Linked DNA regions of Diceros bicornis minor. The protein of the gene in region 2 purifies or fractionates together with the protein of the main gene of each other region. This does not show direct contact. Links are inferred from orthologs where the notes say so. Each region holds a gene or a part of one and is shown on either strand. Other genes may lie near its edges.

Region 1 (7,451 bases), on a different chromosome or scaffold from region 2:
GTCCACAGAAGGGGATTCCCATTTTACAAGGAAACCAAGGTGCAGAGAAGGAACTTTATCTGCAGTTCCCCAACTAGGAAGGAGCAGAGCCAAGAATCCATCCAGGCCTGTCTTAACTCAAAAGCTTGGGCTCTTTCCCATGATGGCCTGTTCCACAGACCCAATCCCAGACCCCATCCTCTAGTGCTGACCCAGGTCAGGGGCTCCTGTGCTCCTCACCGTCTTAGAGGGGATATAGACGTAGGGCAAGTTCCGGTCCTCACACATCACCGGGAGATGGCAGTACACCTCAATGGGCAGCGTGTCTCCTGCCAAAACCATGATCCTGAAACGAGAAACAACGTTGTTTCTAGCTTGCTCATTCCCTCTTTCAGCTGTAGGTGCTACCTCTGGACTGGGCCTTGGGGGTGCAGAGACGGATAAGATGGCCCTTGCCCTCAAGAAGCCCAGTTATTCATACGGGCCTCTCAACCTCTGAAAGTGCTTGCAGATTTGTGTTTGGTGAGTGCACGCCTCTGGGGAGCTGATCTCTATTTCTTTGCAACAAGTAAATGCCACCAAGTTTGACAAGTGGTATTGCACTGGGACAGATGAGGTATGGGAGGGACGCCAAGGAGCAAGAGCTCAGCTCTTCTTGGAGAGTCAAAAAAGGATTCAGGAGGCAACACTTGAACAGAAAGCTGAATGATGAATTTCTGACAGGCAGCCCACGGAAGGGCTGAGGGCGGGGAAAGCATTTAAGGCTGAGAGAATCAGAATGGCACCAGATGCACAGGGGCTGGCTATTAGGAGCCTGGGATGGCTTTGGAATCCAGGATAGGGACCAGGGCAGAGAGGGCTAGAGAGATTGGCAGGGACCACACCCAAAGACCCTGAGTGCCAGCCTAGGAAGCATGGGCTCAGTCCCAAGAGTGACAGGGAACCAATGAAAGTTTGCCAGAGAATCCTTAGCTAGGGCTTCTAGCTGGCAAGGTGCTAGGGCTCTGGGGCAAGGGCCTCATGAGCCCTGAAGACAGAGGAAGAGTCTGTTCTCCGGGGGGGAGATAGGCAAACACAAGGAAAGAGCTCTTGGTTCAGAGCACGGCTTCCACTCTCTCCTGGTTCTCCTTTTGCCTCATGGGCTCTCCTCTTCCTCTGAGTAGACTTTAAATGCTGGTGTTCCTTTCAGCCTGGTCCTTGGCTGCCCTCTCAGTACCTTCTCCCCAGCTGACCCCAGCCACAGCCATGGCGTCAAGTGCCATGCATGTGCTGACAACTGCCAAATCTGTTTCTCCAGCCTGGCCCTCTCTCTTCCAAGCTCCAGACCCATACAGCCATTTGCCTATTTGATGGTTCTGGTGGGGAGAGGGGTCACGTGTCTAAAAGGTGCCTCAAAAACTTGTCTAAGGGGCCAGCCCGGTGGCATAGTGGTTAAGTTCACGCACTTCAGTGGCCTAGGGTTCACAGGTGGGAATCCTGGGCACGGACCTACGCACCACTCATCAAGTTATGCTGTGGCAGCATCCCACATAGAAAATAGAGGACAATGGGCAGAGATGTTAGCTCCGGGCAGTCTTCCTCAGCACAAAAAGAAAAAACCCCAACTTGTCTAAAACCAAACTCGGGATCTTCCCGGCCCCCCCTCCACTGTCCAGTATCTCAGTAAGCAGGCCCTCTGTCCATTCAGCTGGAATCCATACCTCCTGATTCTACGTCGGCAAGTCCTCTCAGATCCATCCACTTCAGTTCTCTCCATCTGCCATCACCAACCTAATCCAAACTGCCGTCACGTACACTAGAGCAGCCTCCTGTTTCAACTTCCTCAAGTCTACTCTTGCATCTCTGATCCTTCTTAAGTTGCCAAAAAAATCTTCTTAAGGGGTAAACATAATTATGTCACATCCTGGCTTTAACTCTCAATGGCCTCTCAAAGCTGAGTCCAAAAACTAAACTATACTTACCACAAGCTTACAAAGCCCCATGAGAAGGTAGCACTTCTGCCCACCACTACTCTTTCTCGTGCCCTGGTACCCATCTTCCTTGCAGAACCCCCAAAACTAATCCCTATATCTTCACACCTCAGCTACCCCCGCGTAGGTCCCTACTGAGCATCAAATCCCCCAGCATTATTTATCTCTTGGGCACCTCAGTGTACCAGACACTTCAGGGGAGAAAGCAGTGAGAGGCTTTATCCTGTTCTCAAAGAGCTTACGGCCTTTGGCCTGAGTGGGAGAAACAGGGAATAAAAATGCAAATAAGTTTCAGATTCTGATAAATGCCAGAAAAGAAAGACGAGGGGGAACGAAGTCATTCTCACTGCACCCTGTACTTTTCGTTCATAGTTACCTATCGCACAACTTGTAAATGTGCGTCTGATTATTTGATTAATGTCATTGTCTCCAGATAGCACAGTGCCGGAAAAAAAACAGACACTCGATAGATAGTCGCTGAGTGAATGAAGCTGGGGTCTACCCTAAGTGAGTGGTGTATACAAGTCGCTTCCCATGGAATTCACGTGCCCCATGGTGTCCCTCTGAGCTCGTCTAAGTGATGTATCGGTAGCTGTACTGAAGGGAATTCACCAACTGCTTGCTTATCTTCCGCACGCGGGGCTGAGTCAGAGCACTTGTACCGAGCACTACTACCCTCGTTACCGTTTAGAAATGCAAAGTCCGGCGGGAGCGTTCTTACCCTTTCTCGCCCTTATTGATAAATTTCTGGACCTCCTTCACCCCGCGTCGAATCTGCTTCTGCTTCACGGCTGAAACAACAGAAGAATCAGTCGGGGCCCTGGGCCCCCCGCCCCCGCGCCCCCCGCGCCCCCAGACTGGCCGGCCGGCGCCGCCACACCTTTCTTGATGCATTTGTAGAGCTTCCGCGTGAGGCGGCGAGAAGCCAGGGGCTGCGCGATGGGGTTCAGGTTCACCAGCAGCTCGTGGTAAGTGCGCTCCCCGCAGCACGCCTCGGCCTGAGCCTCCGGCCCGTCCGGATCGGCCTTTATCTTGGTCATCACAGCTGCCGCGGCAACAGTCCCCCGGCGACGAGTCCACGCGGCGGAGGAATCACTTCCGGGTCATCCCCTCTGCGGAGAATCGGCCGTATACTACAACCAACCAGGAGACCAGGTCTCAGACTCCGACCAATTGTGGACGCTCCGCTCCTTAAAGAGGGAGCTGAGGGGGGCGGAGTCTCGGCCGTAGGGGCGGGGCCACTCCCCCCACAGAGAGGCGGGGCGAAGCGGATTAGGGGCGGGGCCGAGGGACTCCGAGGCGAGGGGGCGGAGCCCGGAGGGAGGCGGGGCCAGAAGGAGGCGGGGCTAGGACAGCGGCTTAGGCGGATCTGAGAGCCCCGGTAACCTGTACCTACAGGAGCGGGCGGAGGAGGCAGTGTTTTTGGGGCATGACCACGACTAAGGGAACGCGATCCTTGCCTGACGGCGGGATCTGGGACCCGAGTAGAGGAAGGGGCAGTCTGCTCGGTGGGATTCCACGCCACCTTAGAGTCTGATCCTCATTTGGTCCTGGGTGGTGTGCCCTAGGTGCCAAGGTTAAGGTAAACCCTGACGCTGCTAAGGGTTCTTCGTTCTAGCACAGTTTCTCACACTCTGCTTTCCCTTTTACGGCAAGGGATGGCCCCACTCCCTGAGCGCCGGAGTCTGGACCGCCTTTCCCCAGAAAGCCCGTGCCTCACTCCTCTTCTTCCCGCAGGGGTCTGCTCAAATGTTACCCACGGGAAAGGTTCCCCGGACCACCTGATCTAAAATTGCAGTCCCCCCCCCCCACCGCATCCCCTAACTCTGTTTTCCTCGTGGTTCCTACACCGCCTGGCATCACACACACGAGAGGCATCGCGGAGACAGCTAGCTGAGCTGAGGGGCAGACAGCATGAGTGCAGCCGTGAACACTGTGGGGAACACACTGGGGCTGCGACTTGGGCGGGGGAGCGCGGGACTCTGAGTAGGCGCCCAGTGTAAAGTTATCTGTAAAGGCTTAGTGGACGGTGACGCTGGAGAGGGGAGTAGGCCTAGACTGGTGGATTTTGTATCTCCAACTTACTTCTTCCACTGCGTCTTGGAACACTGGGTGAATATCAATTAGATAATTGCTGCAAATTAATTGCCTTTGATTATGCAGTGATAGGCCTGCTATTTTTGTGGTGGTGGAACAGGCCAGTCAGTGGAACTTTAGAAGCCTACAGGTGGCCATAGCAGTGCAGGTCAGTTAAGCCAACTTAAAAAGTGGCCCTGTAACCAAGTGCAAAGTCATTAAGTAAAAAACAAATAGGTTTTTAATTTAATATTTTAATAAGAAAAATAATTTTCACAAAGAGAAAAATATTGAACAATGAAAATACATTATTTATAGGGCTGGCCCCACAGTGTAGTGGTTAAGTTTGTGCGCTCTGCTTTGGCGGCCTGGGGTTCGAAGGTTTGGATCCCGGTCGCAGACCTATGCACCACTCATCAAGCCATGCTGTGGTGGCATCCCATATACAAAATAGAGGAAGATGGGCACAGATGTTAGCTCAGGGCCAATCTTCCTTACCCTGCCAAAAAAAAGAAAGAAAGTAAATACATTATATAAGCAATAAAAAATAATTTGAAAGTAAACAAAGTTTGCACAATATAACAAAAAATTGACCTTTTAAATGTTTTCATTTTGGAATTTCTTTAAGAAAAGATAGCCCCTTCCTGAGTTTTAGGACTGGTGACTACTGTCAGCTTTACCTTAATGCAAATGACTTTGCTCTATCCCCCACTTCTCCCTCATCCCAGGTTCCTTAGTAGCCATTCTGGCCCTCCCTGGGAAGCCGTCCCCAAGGGGCAGTGAGCCTGTGAGAGCAGAGCTCCTCTGAGCACACAGCTAGCAGGGCTCTGCAGGGTGGTTTTCTGTTCCTCTTTCTGAGTGGCGTTCCTGTGAACGTTTTCAGCTTGTAGGATGAATGACACTGTGTCAGGATCACAATGGGGAGAGGCACTGCCAAATGTGTGCATGGGACATGATGAACTCTGTCCAGCCGAGTAATGGAGAATTTCATCCCTGGGAAACCCAATTCAAGCAAATTCCAGCAAATGTGCCTGACTGACCTCACCGAGGTCTCCGTCACTAAGGCCTCTCAGTTCTTATATGGAAGGAGGAAGTTAACATTTACGTGCCAAGCACATTACATGTAATCTCTCTCGCAAAGAGTATCTATATTACTCATAATTTCCTAAAGCCCATAAAAGGGAATGGCTCCATCCAGTTCACACAAAGCTGGATTTCAACCCAGATCCATTTGTCTTCACACCCTCACTCTGCTCATACTCTGTGACTTGGCGATAGACTTTAGCTCAAAGGATATGAGATGTGGCTCAGTAGTGAAAGTGCTGGAACCTCGGCCTGGCTGGGTCATGAGTGTCAGCTTTTTGAGCTGTGAGACAATGAAGTGCTAAGAACAAACAGGTCCTCAGTAAACCATATTGTGTATTTCTAAAACAGGCCCAGAGCTCTGTGCTGGATCCAAGGTGGTTTGTGTGATTTTACTGATTTTATTCAAATGGCCACTGGAACTCGCTTGAAGCAGTGTAAAGTGGGTGAAACCATAATGGCTAATGAACAGTAGACCAGGGCTCTAAGTGACAAATGGCTTTGGGTAAGTCATTTAACCTCTCTAGGCTTCAGTGCCTCATCTATAAAGTGAGAAAGTTAGACCTAGATGGACTAAGGCACCATCTTTTAAAAGTTGGAGAGGATGATTTTTTTTTAAATTGCAGTATAATTCACATACCATATAATTTTCCTGTTCAAAGTATACAATGCAATGGTTTTAGTAGCTTCACTGAGTTGTGCAGCCATCACCACAGTCAATTTGAGGACATTTTCTCATGTCAAAGAGAATCCCTGCACCCTTTAGCTATCACCCTCTGACCCCTTCATCCTTCCCAGCCCTAAGCAACCTCTAATTTTCTGTTTCTATAGATTTCCCTGTTCTGGACATTTCATAGAAATGGAATCGTGTAGTATGTGCCCTTGTGTCTGGCGTCTTGCATTGAGCATGATGTTCTCAAGGGTCATCCATGTTGTAGCATGTGTCGTTACTCTGTTATTACATAACATTCCATTGTATGGATAGTCCACGTTTTATCCATTCATCAGTGGATTGGTTTGTTTCCAACTTTTGGCCATTGTGAATAGTGCTGCTATGAACAGTCATGCACAAGATTTCGTGTGGACATATGTTTTCAGTCCTCTTGAGTAGATCCCTAGAACTAGAACTGGTGGGTCCGTGGCAACTCTGTGTTGAGTGTTTTGGGGAACCGCCAGGCTGTTCTCCCCAGCGGCTTCTCCATTTTACGTTCCCACAGCAGTGAACAAGGGCTCCAGTTTCTCCACAAGCTCACCAACACTTGCTGTTCTCTGACTTCTTCGTTATAGTAATCCCAGGAGGTGTGAAGTAGTATCTCATTGTGGTTTTGATTTGCATTTCCCTTGTGACTAATGATCCTGAGCAACTTTTCATGTGCTTATTGGCTATTTGCCTACCTTTGGAGACACATCTATTCAGATCCTTTGCCCATTTTTAAATTGAGGGTGACTTTTTTAATTGACTTTTTACTTAGCAAGATAGATGCTTACTTTAGGAGCTGAAGTTCAAGTAGAAGAAAAAAATATATAAATAACCATATATCGTTTATGCAATTTATTGGAAATCTGCTTTAATTTTTTGTAGGCCGGTTATGTCACTGTTAGTATGACCAGTATTAGTCAAGATGGTCGATGGAAACTTACGTCCCAGCCTGGTTTCCTTAGTGACAATTGGTGTCTCCTCAGAAATGAGGCCTGAGAGTTCAGGACAAAGCCTGAGGAAAGAGGGACCATCAAGTGGGATTCTGGAGGATGGACCCTTCCTCAGTCACAGCTGCTTGGGACACACCTTTCTGCACAAAGCTGAGAGCTTAGAAAAGCCAGCTCAGCACTTCAGGAAGACGGGTTTCTTTAGGGTTAGGGTTTTGGCTTTGGAATTTAAAATTTATTATTTTAAAGATGATAATGTTTATGTTAAAAAAATTTTCAGATAGTACATAAGAGTATAAAGTGAAAAGTTAAACATCTTTCTTCTCTAACCCCTATTCCCCTCATTTAAGCTCTCCAGATGTATTCACTATTAAGTTTTTTGTGTGCATATGCAAGTGTATATATATAGATATGTTTGTTTACACTATTAAATAATACACTGTTCTGGCAATTTATTTCGACATCAATATATCTTTTTTTTTTTTTGTGAGGAAGATCAGCCCTGAGCTAACATCCATGCCAATCCTCCTCTATTTTTGCTGAGGAAGACCAGCTCTGAGCTAACATATATTGCCAATTCTTCTCCTTTTTTTTCCCCCCAAAAGCCCCAGTAGATAGTTGTATACTAGTTGTATAGTTGTACAGTTGCACATCCTTCTAGTTGCTGTATGTGGGACGCGGCCTCAGCATGGCTGG
Region 2 (7,895 bases):
CAAGATATTAGCTCTGGCAAGTATTATCTTTCCTCTTGTTTCACAGGAAAATGAGCAAAGGCCAATTTCACCACTTGGCTCAGGAACCCATCCCATTTCCAAGTGAACTGCTTCCTAATATTACTGTACTATGAATCTCTCCCCCTGCCCCAGATCATTCCCATCAGCATACCAAAATTCTGTAGTGCCTCTGTTAAATCCCTCCAGCTATGGCCTCACTTCTCCCCTTAACATTTCCTGAAAGAGTTGTTAACACATGCTGTCTCTCCCCTTTATTTCTCACTCAATCTCTAGCCCTAAATGGGCTTCCATCACCATCTGCCCTTCACAAGTTCAGCAACAATCGCCATGTTGCTAAGTCCAGCAGACACCTTTCTGTCATCTTACTTCTCAGCAACATCAGACATGATTCCCCAATCACTTCCTCAAAAAAACTTTCATTTTTTGGGGGCCAGCCCGGTGGCAAAGTGGTTAAGTTCACGTGCTGCTTTGGCAGCCCGGGGTTCCCAAGTTCGGATCCCAGGCACAGACCTACGCACCGCTTATCAAGCCATGCTGTGGCAGCATCCCACATATAAAGTAGAGGAAGATGGGCACGGATGTTAGCCCAGGGCTGGTCTTCCTAGGCAAAAAGAGGAGGACTGACAACAGATGTTAGCTCAAGGCTGATCTTCCTCACCAAAAAAAAAAAAAAAAAAAGAAAAAAAGCAACTTCCATTTTTGGCATCCACTATGTTACAGTGGTATTCCACCCTCATGTAACTTCTGCCTTTGAAGCTTTAAATCCAACGTTGACTTAAAAGAGACTTAAATGATGTAACAGCCAAATGCACTGTTTGAATCTTGTTTGAATTCTAATTCAAATAAACCAACTGTTAAATGACACCCTTCAAACAACCAGAAAAATCTGAATACAGACTATTAGGAAATATTAAAGAATTAGGATTAATTCTACTATGGTTGATAATGATATGGTGGTTATGTAAAAAGTATTTTATCTGTTAGAAATGCATAGTAAAGAATTTACAGGTAAAGTGGCATATTGTCTGAGATGTTTTAAAACTATCACATTAAAAAAAAAGAAAAGTTAAATAAAACAAGATCAGCAAAATATTGGAAACTGTTAAGTTTGGTGATGAGTATACACACATTCATTATATTACTCTCTCTACTTTTTACAAGTTTGAAAACATCCATAACAAAAAGTTAGAGTAAGTTTTATTTGTAATCTGACAATGCTCAAATTTACTTCTCCAGTTCAGAATTGCCCTCTGAAGTCTAAACTCATTACCCTACTGCCTACCTGACATCACCAATTGGCTGTTAGAGAAATCTCAAACTAACGGTCCAAATTTAACATTCCTATTGGTCTCCAGCTCCCATCAGAGAAAAATTACTCCTTGTCTCAGGAAACAGCACCACCATCCACTCAACTGATGTCTCTGTCTAGCCCACTGCCACATCTATTAGCAAGCCTGATCAGGGTGACTTCAAAATTTTTAATCCAGACAACCATGGTCACATCATGGGCTAATGCAACGCCTTTGCAACTGTTTCCAGAGTAGCCCCTGTTCCATTCTTGCTTCTCTGCTTTCCCTCTTCAATCCAGTTCAATTCCTTCTCTACAGAGCAAAGCTTATTAGAATGTTAACCTGAATATGCCATTTCTCTGCTTCAAATTCAACAGTTTCTCTAGCACTTAGAATTAAAACATTAACAAGGCTGCAAGGGCCTACACGGTTGGGCTTTCCTATTACTTTCTCAGTGCCTTGCTTGTTCCTTCATGGTAATTGTCACCAACTCTAATTTATTGATTGATATGTTCACTCTTATTTTTTGTAGATCTCACTAGAATGTAGGGCAGAGGTCCTGTCTGTTTTGTTCACCTGTTCAGTATCCCACACAACACACTCAAATACTTGTATACAGTGTTCAGTGTGGTTTAGTAACATCCTACATGCTGAAGTCCCTTCCCACCAGAGGTTTCATATTTAAGACACAGGATGGGGGTGGGGAGCTCTTATAAAACCTATGCAGAACATACACTACTACTAAGTAACAATGGTTCGCTAATTTCACGAACACGTGCTCTCCAGAAGGAGTCTACGAATTAACAAAATTTTCAGGAGCCAATTTGGAAACACAGAATATCCTTTAACTCATCGTCAATTCACCTGGTTCACTAAACTTGATGGGGAAAACAAGTCGGATCTGACACAAAACTCTAACCACAAAGGGACACGCCAAACTGAGTAGTTCTGAAAATAATCCAATATCCTCAGGTTTTCCGTATTCCAACTGAAAATGATACGATCTACACCTAGGACTTTCCAGACTACTAAATTTAGGGAAGAAGCGAGATCTGACTATTGAGCTCAGATTCACAACGCGATCTGCCACGAACAGCGAGGAGTGGGCGGTCCGATGTGCGTGTAAACACGTGCGCCCTCAGCTTCAGCGACCTCCCCTCCCTTCGGAGCCCACGCGGACACCCTCTCCGCCCCAGGCCCCGGCTCCCCCCGCCGGTTACACAGGCCCTCTACCCACAGCTCCGGGACCGGCAAGCACCCGACCTGTCCGAGTCCGAATCCGAGTCCGAGGTCTCCGGGGAGTCTGGGGTCCGCGCCAGCTCCGCAGCGCCCGGGCCGGTGACGCAGTTCCCTCCGGGTGGAGGTTCCAGCTGCGACTGCGGCGCGAGGTTCCCGCCGGCCGCAAGGCTCGGCGCGAGCGGAGGCGGCTGGCCCCCGGCAGGCTGAGCCTCCGCGGCCTGCCCAGTGTCCGGGGACCCCTCCTCCGACTGTAGTGGCTGCCGTGGCTCCGGGAGAGGAATAGGGCCAGGAGACGGCACTTCCTGACCTTGGCCCACCCCAAAGCCGGCGCCGTGGAATTTCAGAGTTTCCAGCTGAGCAGCGGCGGCCTCCACTACTTCCATGGCGTCACGCCAGACACTCGGTCAGGCTCCCGTTCTGGACCCTCGGACGGGCTAGCAGCTCGCTCACGAAAAGATCAAACAACCTTGGCGGCAGAGGTAACCGAGCCTGGGCCCGACTTCCCGCGTTTCTCTGGTAACTACACGCGGAGATGTCTGCAGACACGCCCCCGCCGTTTACTCTGCGGCACTTCCGGGAGAGCGTATGACGTATCGTGACGCGACTGCGCTCACTGGGGCGGGGCGGAGCCGCAGGACCTGTGGAAACTAGCTCTCCCGCGGCCCTAAACCCGCCGTTTTCACTGCATCGTCGGGACTTCTGCTCACACTGCAAGGGCAGAAGGCTAGACTTTCCTATTGCTGGATCTGTGCAAATTTCGTTCGATGAGAAGATGTGAAGGAGAGATTGTAGGACTGAGGAGATGCCTGATTGTGCGAGGCGCTGTCCATCCGAAACTTGAGCCAGGAAGTCTTGAAAACAGACACTTCTAGCAAACTTCTTTAAAGTTAAATGAAATTAAATTCATCGATAGAAAGTACGTTGACTATTCATCTCAAAAAAATTACTACTACTGTTCCATTTTTTTCCCTCCAAAGCACTCTCAAAGAGAGCAGTAGCGGTGACAGAGTGTTGCTGCTTGTTGATGTTACGGTGATACCTATATTGCAGTTGATGATGCTTCATAGAAAGGGTGGGATGAGACTAAAATGTACTAACTTAGCCTGAGAAACCATTGCTCTAGATCATAAGGAAGGCAAGCAGAAAGTTCTTAGGATTAAGGTAGGGGTCAATTTTCTGGTTTTCTATTAGAGCTTCAATTTATTTATTATTACTCCCATCAGCCCCTCGAGTAATAATAAATAATATTCATTGTTACCATTTTATTAAGCATATATATGTACCAAGGGCTGTACTAAGGATTTTATCAGTTATTCCCTTCGAATTTATTGTGAGCCCTCCACAATAGTAGACCTTCATAGAAGTTTAAGACAAGAGTAACACATAATCTCTGGTTTCAAGGATCTTACGATCTAATAGAAGTAAAAAGGTCAACGCACAGGAGAGAACTAGAAAGATGTTTGAAATGTGGAGTAGAAGATGCAGGTTCAGCAGTAGTTAGAAGTTAAGTAAGACTGATGGGCTGTATCATGGAAATTCTCCAAAGAGAAGCAGGAATTTAAACTTGAGACAGTACTCGCTAATGCAATGATAAAGCAGAGCTCAGTGTTCCCAGCTAAAAAGACCTGTGTCCAAATCTCAGCTCTACCATTTCTTTGTTGGTGTAATGGGTGAGTTTGGGCAGACAGCCTAACATACCTAAATCTCGTTTTCCTTATCTGTAAAATGGAGATAAAAATATTATCTCATTTAGTTCATGTGAACTTTAATTAAGGTTTTATGCAAGAGAATGACATGTGTCATACACATAAGTGTGCAAAGATACTTGATAAGTAGCACAACGCATGAAATGATGAATAAAGTGATATTTTAGTGACATTGATCTTGCAGAGATATGCAGTATGAATTTGAGAAGAGAAGAAATTTGAGTCAGAATGACCCTCCAGCCAGCCAAAAGTCCGTTGCGTTTTTCCAGGAATCAAGTGATGAAAGTCTGAACCAGGGCTAGAATCAGTGAAATAGAGTAAAGGAAATCCCCAACATCAGAAGAAGAGTTAAAGTACTCTAAAATTTCTAACCAAGGAAACTAGAAAGAAGCTGGTATTACCAGTAAATATGGAGAAGTTGGAACAAGATAACGAGTTTATAATGTTGTTTGTCAATGCAAATAATCAATAATCAATCTTTAGTAAGAAATAGAAGAGAGTTCTATTTGAGCCAAGCTGAGGACTAGCCTGGGTTAAGACCTAGCCTCCACCAAGGAAGAAAATGCTTTGGAGAAGCATGGTTTTTGGCACAGTTTATGTACCATTTCAGAACAAGGAACATACATCAAGCATGACAGGGATATGATTCAAGGTATCAAGAAAATATTTTTTTTTAGATTAGCATGTACTCAGTTGGTTGACATGATGCTGGTGCTGCGGGAAGGGAGACTTATCTGGCATCACAAGAAGGGAGGCATTAATTTTTATCTTCAAAGAGCACGTTCCTTATTGTAGAGTAATGATTGAATTCATCCATTACTTTAATGGTGTGCCTGTGAACTGGGCATACAGGAAAGTGAATAAAACACAGTCCTTGCCCTTAGGGAGCTAACAGTTTAGAAGAAAGACAAGTTGGAAATGTGATAAGTACTTGAGTAGAGAAATGTTTGATAGTAGAAGCATGTACTATAGAAGAGGGATGTGCAAATGGGAACACAGAGAGAGAATACTGGGAAAGTTAAGGCAAGTTTTACAATGAGTATGACATTTGAGCTGGGCCTTTAAAGAGAACCATGAATTTGTTAATCTGAGAAAATAGGAGAACTTCATAAGGAAGAATAAATAAGATCATGTAATTTACTGATTAAAACCCTAAATATTTGCGATCACGCTTAGAATAAAATCCAGACTCCCGGCTTTGGTTTTCAAAGCTCTGCCTGATCTGGCTGCCCACATATCCATCTCCTACTACTTTCCCTTCCCTCCGGCCATTCATCTCACTGGTCTTCGTGATCCCTCTTCAACACACCAAGTGCATTCTTTACATATGGCATTTTCACTTTGTTGTTCTCTCTTCTTTTCAAATTAATATGGTTCATTTCCTTATTTTACTCATGTCTGTACTCAGATATAACACCCAAGATAGAACTTTCCAGACCACCCAATCTAAGAGTATCCCCTAATACCAGTCACTCTCTATCTCATTCCTTTTTTTTTTTTTTTATCGTATAGCCATGCACCACATAACGAAGTTTTGGTCAACAATAGCCCGTGTATACCAAGGTGGTCCCGTAAGATTAGTACCATATAGCCTAGGTGTGTAGTAGGCTACACCATCTAGGTTTGTGTAAGTATACTCTATGATGTTCACATGACAAAATCACCTAATGACTCATTTCTTAGAACATATCCCCATTGTTAAGCAACACATGACTGTACATATCTTCACATGAAATTATATTTATTTACTTCTTTATTGTCTCTGTTTTCCCATAAAATTAAGTCTCATGAGCCCAAGATCTTTGTCTAACTCACAGCTGTCTCTCAGTGTCCAGAACCGTAACAAATCCTAAAAATTTTTTCGAATGGAAGAATGAAACAAAAAAGAGAAAACAATAAAGCTTTATGAAACAATCAAGGTAAAGGAGAAATGATTACAGACAAAGGTACAGATGATACCTAAGTTATTCCTTCAATTTAAATGAATCTAATGATTCCTAAGAAATGCTACTGGTTTCCAATAAAAATCTCTTTGTTTTGGGGGTGGAGATGGTCTCTGTACTTCAGGACAAGAATAGCTATACCTCTGCCTAGCTTTAACTAGGTTGCTATTTTGCAACTGATACTTTTTCTAAGTGCTTGAATGTTTCAAAATGTCTTGAATTTACCTACTTCCAGAGCCTGCCTCTCTGCTGCATTATTTCTAACAGCTGCTAAACTTAGCCTGAAGTCTTTCCCTTAGGGCTAAAAGCTAAAATAACTTATTGAAAGAATAAATAGTTTATAGGATCACTATTAAAATCGAGAGTTTGTCTTGAATTAAATTATTAATTAAAAGCCATATTACATTTCAAAGCAAGCAAACAAGTAAAAAACCTAAATATATTCTTTAAAATGCAAAAACATTTATAAGAAGAAATTTGTTTAAAAACAAATAGAATTTTACAAGTTCGCCAGTCTCTACTTATTATAAAGATTGTGAAATTTTACAAAAAGAAAAAACCAGCTGCTAACTAACTCTTACTGCCGTTTGCACTGATTTCCAGTGTCTTGCTACTCAAAATGTGCTGGACGAGCAGCTTATGCACCAGGTGGAAACTTGTTAAAAATGCAGAAGTTCAGGCCCTACTTTCTGAATCAGAATCTGCATTTTAACAAGATTCCCCATGTGATTTGCGTGCACTTGAAAGTTTAAGAAACTCTGCCCTAGTGGCCATGTGAGAATTGGCAACATCCCAGGACTGGTATAGTGCTGGAAAGTAAAAAGAATGAAAGCCTTTTCCAAGAGGAGCTGAAGTGCTGGACCGTTGAGTCTAAGGTGAGTAGACTGACTAGCTCGTTGTCTGTTGATGCTTCTACTTGGATGCCCCTCAAGTACCTCAAACTGTCAAATCCAAAACGGATCTCAGCATCCTTTTCCCCATACTTCCCCTCCTTTATCTCCTATCCTGGTAATGCCACCCACTACCCAGTCACTTACTATGTACTAAATCTCAGCCTCATCAATGCTGTGTGACTTAGTCCAAGTCACTTAATTTTCTCTGTCTGATATTCTTTCACTCATTCATTCAATAAATATTCACCAGGTACCAACTTTGTGTCAGGTGCTGTGTCAGGTGTTGGGAATAAAGTGGTAAACAAAACGGAAAAGGCCCTAGAGCTCGTAGAATTCACAATATAAAATATCAATTTTAATTGATGAAGGATCACCAGAGCAGAGCTCCATAGACCCTTCAGAGTGCATTAGGAGCCAGTCAAGGTGAGGGTTAGGGAATGGGGCGATTGGCATTCCAGATCCCGTACACATGTTGGATTTCAAGTAAGATTTCATCTGAAGAAAGGATTTAGTGGCAAAAAAAAGGAACACAAATAAGTTGAAACCTAAAGCCTTTCCTAGAAATGTCATTTCATAGTCTTTGTTTTTTGTTTCCAATTTTTTTGAATTCTGGAATTTTTATAGATGGCACACTGGTTGATCTTAGTTTATTTCACTGTTTAAAAAGACATGAATTGACACATGTACAGTTCAGTTAGAAGCCTACAATGCCCTTGTTAAATGGGAATGAGAATACTTTCTAATATTTGTCACGTAATGATTAGAAGCACTATTTACCACTCCCTCCACTTTGGGCATTTGTGG
Region 3 (7,656 bases), on a different chromosome or scaffold from region 2:
TTAATAAACCATTAACATACATAAAATAAGAGTCTGCACTACCATCAACCATGATATGGTTACCCTTCAAGTTCATAAACTTGGATTTTGCTCCTATATTTTAATTATCTGCTGTGACACTGTTAAGCCTCCTTATATTCAGGAAAAATTACCCATTATGAGTAAGAATAAGACAAATTTGATCACTCCTCTAGAAAGAGACTTCTTGGGGTACTACAGAACAGACTAGGCTTCACTGTGCGGCCTTATGAATAAAATATGGACTAGCTTTGATTTTCTCAGGGACAAGATAACCAAACTGAGGTGGACTGGCAACAATGTTTCTCAAACATGACCAACTTGTTCTTGCTTCAGATGCTCCGATCTGTGCTCCTTTTCATTCTCCTCCTTTCCAAGGCTTGAGGCTGGACACCACTGGTCTGAAAGATCTCCCCTCAATTGAAGCCCATCTTTTCTATCACCCAGTTTAGTTTCATCATGGTACTTACACACAAATAGCAATTATTTTTTAACTCTCTCCCATTCCTAGATTTTAAGTTTCACGACAGTAAAGACATTGTCTATTTTGTTCACTAGCATATCCCCAGGGCCTACAATAGAAAAGCAGATGTGGGCCGGCCCTGTGGCTTAGCGGTTAAGTGCGTGCACTCTGCTACTGGCGGCCCGGGTTCGGATCCCGGGCGAGCACCAACGCAACACTTCTCTGGCCATGCTGAGGCCGCGTCCCACATACAGCAACTAGAAGGATGTGCAGCTATGACACGCAACCATCTACTGGGGCTTTGGGGGACAAATAAATAAATAAAATTAAAAATAAATAAGTTAAAAAAAAAAAAGAAAAGCAGATGCTATCTAAATGGCAGACATGTCTGGCCAAGCAGAAACTCAACTGTGTTGAATTATATAAGCAAATCTCACTCTTTTACCTCATATCCATTGGTTTATTAAAACACTTTGTCAAGGGGTGTCTCAATAACTTTTTCTACTCTAACTTGTCCTTCTAATCTCATAGCAGGTGCCCATTAAGTCGTTTGCGAAACTTCTAATTCACCTCATTACTGACTACCCTATTTAAAACCCAATCAACAGTCAATAATTTCTAGGGGACATGTTACATGCCAGGCACTGTGGCTAAACACCTTTCATGGATTACCTCCTGCAGCCCTCAGCTTGCCTTCCTAAGAGAAGATATGAGCAAACAGCCTCAGAGAGGTTAAATGACTGCCCAAGGTCACATACTGCCTGACTCAAACTGGTCTGGCTTCAAAGCCCATGCTCTCAAGTATTAAAGCAGTCCTATTCCAAGTGTGGCCCACAAACTGGTACAGGTCTGTGAGGTGGAGTTAGGTACAGAAACCAAGAAATAATTGTTTATGAACTTTGATAGCACTTTGACGTTGCTGCGACATCTTAACTGTATTCTACAACAGTGTTAGATCCATTGAAAAAGAAAAAAAAATAACCTGGTCCTTCATCCCAGACACCTTGAGGAACACTGCTTTAGACTGTATCATATAGTATTTCCTAAGTCAACAATGCTGGCATTAAGCACTCTTAACTATTTAACACTTAGACATAATGTAAAAGCCAGGCACTGACCTGATGCATAATCTTAACCACATACCTTTAGCAACAGGGGCCACTGAGATGTGTCCAATTGAGCCACTTTGGATTCAGGTTTGATAAGAAATTCTTCAGCATGCTGTATTTCCTTGCACAGGACAAAAATACACCCTATTAGACTTCCCATCTGATTTTGAACAATTCCATTACTACCACAGAAGTCTATGCCTTTAAAACAGAAAACAAAGTAGTCTATGCTTCTTCCCTGGAACCTCCATGGGAAAGAGAAGAAATGAACTAGGATCTTAAAATGGTAAGTGAAGTACCACCAAGATAGGTACTGCTATTTAAAGAGCAAGAGGGATGGTGGGTCTACAGGTGAGAGAGCAAACTACACCTGACCGGACAGACTCTAAGTTGGCTGGGGTTGTGCAGTTTCTACACAACAACCAACCAATTCCAGCCCATTCCTTAGAAACCTTTAAAAGCAGTTCTTTTCTGTAATTTGTTATCTAAGGAACATTTTTTAGTCCAAGCAAAGTAAAACGTATTCCTACTCACTGCTACATCTTCTTCTGGTAACGACTTCCGCTCCTTTTTCTTCTTATGCTTTTTCGGCAAAATAAATACTAAAAAAACACAAGATTTGGAAGTTTTCCCCGAAAATAAAGGCAACAAAGTTTAAATTAGAAAATGAAATCAGGGCAGGTAGAAAATGGATGTTTGGTCTAGAATTACTAGAGAAAACAAAGTGTGTAAGACCAAACGCGTGGGTTGCATGGCTCGGTTAGCTACTGCAAGCAGTCGCACGTGTCGGCTTCCATTCCGGTTCACCACGTGGCCCTGGCGGGGCTTAAACGTGCTGCAGAAGCGCTCGAGCCGTGGGCCAGAAAGTTCCATAAATGAGTGCTCAACTATCCCCCAGAGCTTTTGGCGTCTAGAACTTGCTTACGACTCAGAGCTACGCCCGCGCCCCTCGCCCCTTTTTTTCCCGCCTGTTCCCACCATTCTTTCCTCCCCTCATCGCCTGGCGCTGACTGCGGCGTCCGGGCTGGCGGCGGCGGCACAGATACTACCAGGTCTCCCGCCACCGCGAGGTCGCCGGCACGGCCGACGACGACCAGGGCCCTAAGGGGGCTGTGCCATCCGCGGGAGATCCCGGCCTCGCGGCGCCACTTCACCGCCAGGGCTTCTCGCTCTCTTGCCCTCCCCCGTGGAGCCAGGGCCAAGAGGCAAGGGCGGCAAGAGGCCCAGCGGCGAGGGGGTCGGCCCGGCGGCTGGAGCTAGCGGAGAACTCGGGACCCGACGCCATACCCCACCACTCCCGGCTCTCTCAGCCTGCGGAGCTGGTTCCAGCCCGGGGCACTTGACCCGGCCACCCGCGAGGGAACGACCCTTACCTTCCGTGTCCGCCATGTTGCCCCGCAGAGCGAGCCAGCCGCGTGGGCCACGGCCGAGAGAGCGACCACAGACTCCCGCCGCCGTCAGGCCACGCCGCTAGGCCCCGCCCACCTGTGCGCCACCCTGTGCGTACCGCACGGGGGGGGCGGGGGGGGGCGGGGCCAGGCTGCGGGGGTGGGGGGGCGGTCAGAGGCCGAAGCGCGCACGCACAATCTCATTGGCTGGCTGGGCCCCTGAGGTTGTGCGAACGCGCGTGCGCATTGTGCCGCGTCCCCGCCCCCAGCGGCTCAGCCTGGGAGCGCATGCGCAGGCCGCCCCTGCTGCCCGTAGCCTGTGGGCGTGGCCCCGGCCGCAGTTCGCACACCTTAGCTGCGTTTAAGCCCGTCTTGGGCACTTAGACGCTTGGCTGAGCGCTCTGTTAGCAGTAGCTCGTTGCTTCCTCTCGCCGACCGTTGAAGGTTGGTGTCGGATCAGTCCCGATTGAAAAATTAAGCTGTCGAGGCACAGAGAAGTTGAAAGCACTCTGCTGCTTGCAGTTCCCATCCAGCTAGAGCGGCGCTGGCCGATAGGAATAGAGTGCGAGCCACTTGTGGGCTTTTCAATTTTCCAGCAGCCACGTGGAAAAAAAGTTAAAAGAAAAAGATGAAAATGATTTTAATAATGAATTTTATTTAACCCACCGATCCGAAATATTACCATTTCAACACATTTCAACACGACCATTATACACCATTATGAATGGGATATTTTACATTCTTTTTCTTTCGTACCAAGTCTTTCCTGTGTGTGTTTTACACTTACAGCGCACCTCGCTTTGAACTCCACGACGGGGCTCCATGTCAAGAGCTCAATAGTCACAGTTAGCTAGTGGCTGCAGTATTGGACAGCCAGGAAGTAGCAGCTGTTGGTTCAAGCCCTCTTCCCTTCTGTCTTTGGTGCTCTTCTCACTCTTCTCTCTCTCAAGCGGGGGCTCCTAACCTAGCCTCGGTGGACTTGATTAATCCCTAGTTACTTAATTCTTTATTGCGATTGTAAATGGAATCTTTTGCCGTTATCTTTTCCAATGACTTTGCTTTTCTTCCGTTCCTCCTTTGCCATCCAAAAATTAGAAATTTTTCAGTTTTATTTTACTGGGGTTAAAATAGATGATTGGTTTTTCCTTATTTAGCTTTTTTATTCTATCTAGAATTTATTTTGGTGTATGCCAAGGCAATAATCATCTAAACTGACATTTTGTAGATAACCAAAATCGCCAGTATCAACCAATCCATCTGGAGTTCATTACTTCCCCCATTATTTTATAATGCTTCATTGGTACATATTTGGCTGAATAATTTTGAGGTATTCATCAATAGTACTCATATAGGCTTCATCTTTCTCCAATACTCCTCATCCAATCTGTTAGCAAAGCCTGTCAGCTTTGCTTTCAAAAGAAATCCAGAATCTGATGGTTTTTCACTACCCTCACTGCTGTCACTGTAGTCCATGCCATCATTATGGCTCTCCTAGATTTTTCCAGTGGCCATCTGCTGTTTCCCCTGCTTCTACTTTTTCTAACTGTAGTGTCTTCTCGACACAGCAGCTGGAAAGAGCCATTAAACTGTAATGTTCCTCCTCTGCTCAAAGCCCTTCAGTGGCTTCCCATCTGTAGTGGAGTAAAGAGTAGCCCCCCCAACTGGCCTGTTGGCATAGTGGTTAAGTTTGTGAGCTCTGCTTTGGCAGCCCGGGGTTCGTGGGTTTGGATCCTGGGTGGGGACATACATCAAGCCCTGCTGTGTCAGCCTCCCACATACAAAAAGAGGAAGATTGGCAACAGATGTTAGCTCAGAACCAATCTTCCTCACCAAAACATATGTCCTAACCCCTGGACCCTAGGAATGTGACCTTGTTTGGAAAAAGGATCTTTGTAGATGTAATTAAGTTAAGGATCTCGACATGAGATCATCAGGTGGACCCCAAATCCAATGACAATTGTCCTTGGATGAGAAGGGCAAAGACAGACAGACAGAAGAGAAGACCAAGTTGCTGTACCTTGAACCCACTCCTCCTAAGAAAGAAGCACGATGCTTAGTGGGCCTCTTTCTGGAGGTGGCATACCCATTAGGATGGTACACAGAGCCTTTTCCAAACCTAGATAAGAGAATCACAGCTGAGGCCTCTGGAATTGGAGATAAAAATAAAGCTAAGACCTACACACACACACACACACACACACACACACACACACACACACACAATTTGCTGGGAGGAAAAGCCCCTGACTTGCTTTAGCCCTTTACTGAAACTGAATGACTATGTGATACAAATGATCTTAAGAACTGAGCTACACATCATGAACTGGGTATTGTTTGACTGACCAAGTTATCAAGTCAGGCATGAGCAGCAGCACTCCACCATCAAGTACAATGGTACAGCTTCTGGGGAAAACAGTCTGGCAGTTCCTCAAAAGGTTAAATATAGAGTTGCCATATGACTCAGCAATTCCACTCCTAGGTGTATATACCCAAGAAAATTGAAAATAGATGTTTAAACAGATGCTTGTACACGTATATTCATAGCAGCATTATTCACAATAGCCAAAAGGCAGAGACAACCCAAATGTCCATCTAAAGATGAAGGGACAAACAAAATGTGGTATAGCCATACAATGGAATATTATTCAGTCACAAAAAAGAATGAAGTACTGATACATGCTACAACATGGATGAACCTTGAAAACATCATGCTAAATGAAATAAGCCAGACACACAGGGACAAATATTGTATGATTCCACTCATATGAAATAGCCAGAATAGGCATCCTAGTACAGGCAACAGGCATACGAGTGAGGAAGCTTCCATAAGATTATAGCCTTCAGCCATCTGGTCACCCCCAGCCATTGAATCATCTCAGCTAAGACCACAGGTATTATGGAGCAGAGAGAAGACATTCTCACTGTGCCCTGTTGGAATTTCTTGACGTAATCTGTCAGCTGAATAACAAAACATTCCCAAACTTAGTGTCATTAAACAACCATTTTATTATGCTGACAGATTCTGATTATGCTGAGAATTCAGCTGAAAGGCTGAGTTTCACTGGACAGGAGCACCTGCTTACATACGGCCTCTCCACGTGGCTTGGACTTCCTTACAGCATGGCAGCCTCAAAGTAGTCAGACTCCATACTTGGTGGCTCAAGGCTCAAAAGCAAATGTTAGAGTGGAGAAGGCATAAACCTGCATAATCTTTTGTGGCTTGGCCTTGAAAGTCTCATAGCATCATTTCTGCTGTATTGTATGGTTGAAGCAGTCACAAGCCTACCCAGGTTCAAGGGGAGGAGTCATCAACCCCACCTCTCAATGAGAGGAGTGTCAAAGAATTTTGTAGCCCTGGTTTAAAACTGCCAGATTCAGCAAGACCCAACCAACTGCTGTGAAGGCCAAACTGGTGAATTAAATGGGAATGTGACAGGAATTTCCTTCCTGGCATTCTTCAAGTCTTTGATGATGGAACTGGTTTCTGACATTGTCCCCTAAGTATGTGATATTTCTTTTGATTTGTACTCTGGTAGGAAGGTGGAGCTCCAGGGGTTGCCACTTGGGCCTTTCTGCCGTGATTGGGTCATTCCATGGGTCAGGAAATCAATGTGAGGATTCTGCTGATTTTTTAAATTTTAGCCATTCTGATAGGTATGTAATGGTATCTCATTGTGGTTTTAATATGCATTGCCCTAATGGCTAATGATACTGAACATCTTTCCACAAGTTTATTTGCTATCTGTATATCCTCTTCAGTGAAATGTCTCTTTATATCCTTTACCCATTTTCTAATTGGATTATTAGTGTTTGTTTTTTGCTATTGAGTTTTGAGAGTTCTTTGTGTATTCTTGTTATGAGTCCTTTGGCAGATATACGATTTGCAAACATTTTCTCCCAGTCTGTAGCTTGTCTTTTTATACTCTTAACAAGGTATTTTGTAGAGCAAAAGTTTTAATTTTTATGAAGCCCAGTTTATCAATTTTTTTCTTCTATGGATTGTGCTTTTGGTATCATGTCTAGGAACTCATCACCAGGTCCTAGGTCTCAAATATTTTCTCCTATGTTGTCTTCTAAGAGTTTTATAGTTTTACATTTTGCATATAAATATATGATCCACTTTGAGTTAATTTTTTGTATAAGGTGTGAGGTTTGGGTTAAATTTCTTTTTCTTTTTCTTTTTTGGGCTATGGATGTCCAATTGCTTCAGCACCATTTGTTGAAAAGACTATCCTTCCTCCATTGAATTGCTTTTGTACCTTTGCAATTCAAAGGTACAAAAGGTAACTTTGTCAAAAAATAGTTGGGTGAATTTATGTGGGTCTATTTCTGGGTTCTCCATTCCATTCCATTTATCTATATCTATTCCTCTACCAATATCACTCAGTCTGGATTACTGTAGCTGTATAATAAGCCTTGAAATTGTGTGAAGAGATTTATGTGGTGATCTTGTGTCCTGCAACCTTGTAAAACTCACTTATTATATGGGACTTTTTTCTGTAGATTCCTTGGGATTTTCTATGAGGACAATTATATCATCTGTAAATTGAGACAGTTTTATTTCTTCCTTCCCAATCTGTGTGCCTTTTATTTATTTCTTTTTTTTTTTTTTCGCCCTGTTGCACTGGCTAGAACTTCCAATACTACATTGAATAAGAGTAGTGAGAGCAGATATCCT

The links.
Region 1: the proteins of NAF1 (region 2) and NHP2 purify together in Homo sapiens (affinity purification with western blotting; 3 studies listed by BioGRID and IntAct, with this or other methods). This does not show direct contact. The link is inferred for Diceros bicornis minor from reciprocal best matches to the Homo sapiens genes NAF1 and NHP2.
Region 3: the proteins of NAF1 (region 2) and DKC1 purify together in Homo sapiens (co-immunoprecipitation; 7 studies listed by BioGRID and IntAct, counting the BioPlex papers as one, with this or other methods). This does not show direct contact. The link is inferred for Diceros bicornis minor from reciprocal best matches to the Homo sapiens genes NAF1 and DKC1.

The regions. Positions count from the first base shown.
Region 1 is NC_080740.1:90,985,722-90,993,172, forward strand, and holds the start of NHP2 (H/ACA ribonucleoprotein complex subunit 2), read right to left. Parts: upstream 3,074-7,451; 5' UTR 2,990-3,073; coding exon 2,830-2,989; intron 2,741-2,829; coding exon 2,671-2,740; intron 326-2,670; coding exon 220-325; intron 1-219. UniProt on the Homo sapiens protein: Required for ribosome biogenesis and telomere maintenance. Part of the H/ACA small nucleolar ribonucleoprotein (H/ACA snoRNP) complex, which catalyzes pseudouridylation of rRNA.
Region 2 is NC_080750.1:50,389,450-50,397,344, forward strand, and holds the start of NAF1 (H/ACA ribonucleoprotein complex non-core subunit NAF1), read right to left. Parts: upstream 3,081-7,895; 5' UTR 2,933-3,080; coding exon 2,574-2,932; intron 1-2,573. UniProt on the Homo sapiens protein: RNA-binding protein required for the maturation of box H/ACA snoRNPs complex and ribosome biogenesis.
Region 3 is NC_080781.1:139,220,966-139,228,621, forward strand, and holds the start of DKC1 (H/ACA ribonucleoprotein complex subunit DKC1), read right to left. Parts: upstream 3,062-7,656; 5' UTR 2,980-3,061; coding exon 2,964-2,979; intron 2,193-2,963; coding exon 2,125-2,192; intron 1,712-2,124; coding exon 1,625-1,711; intron 1-1,624.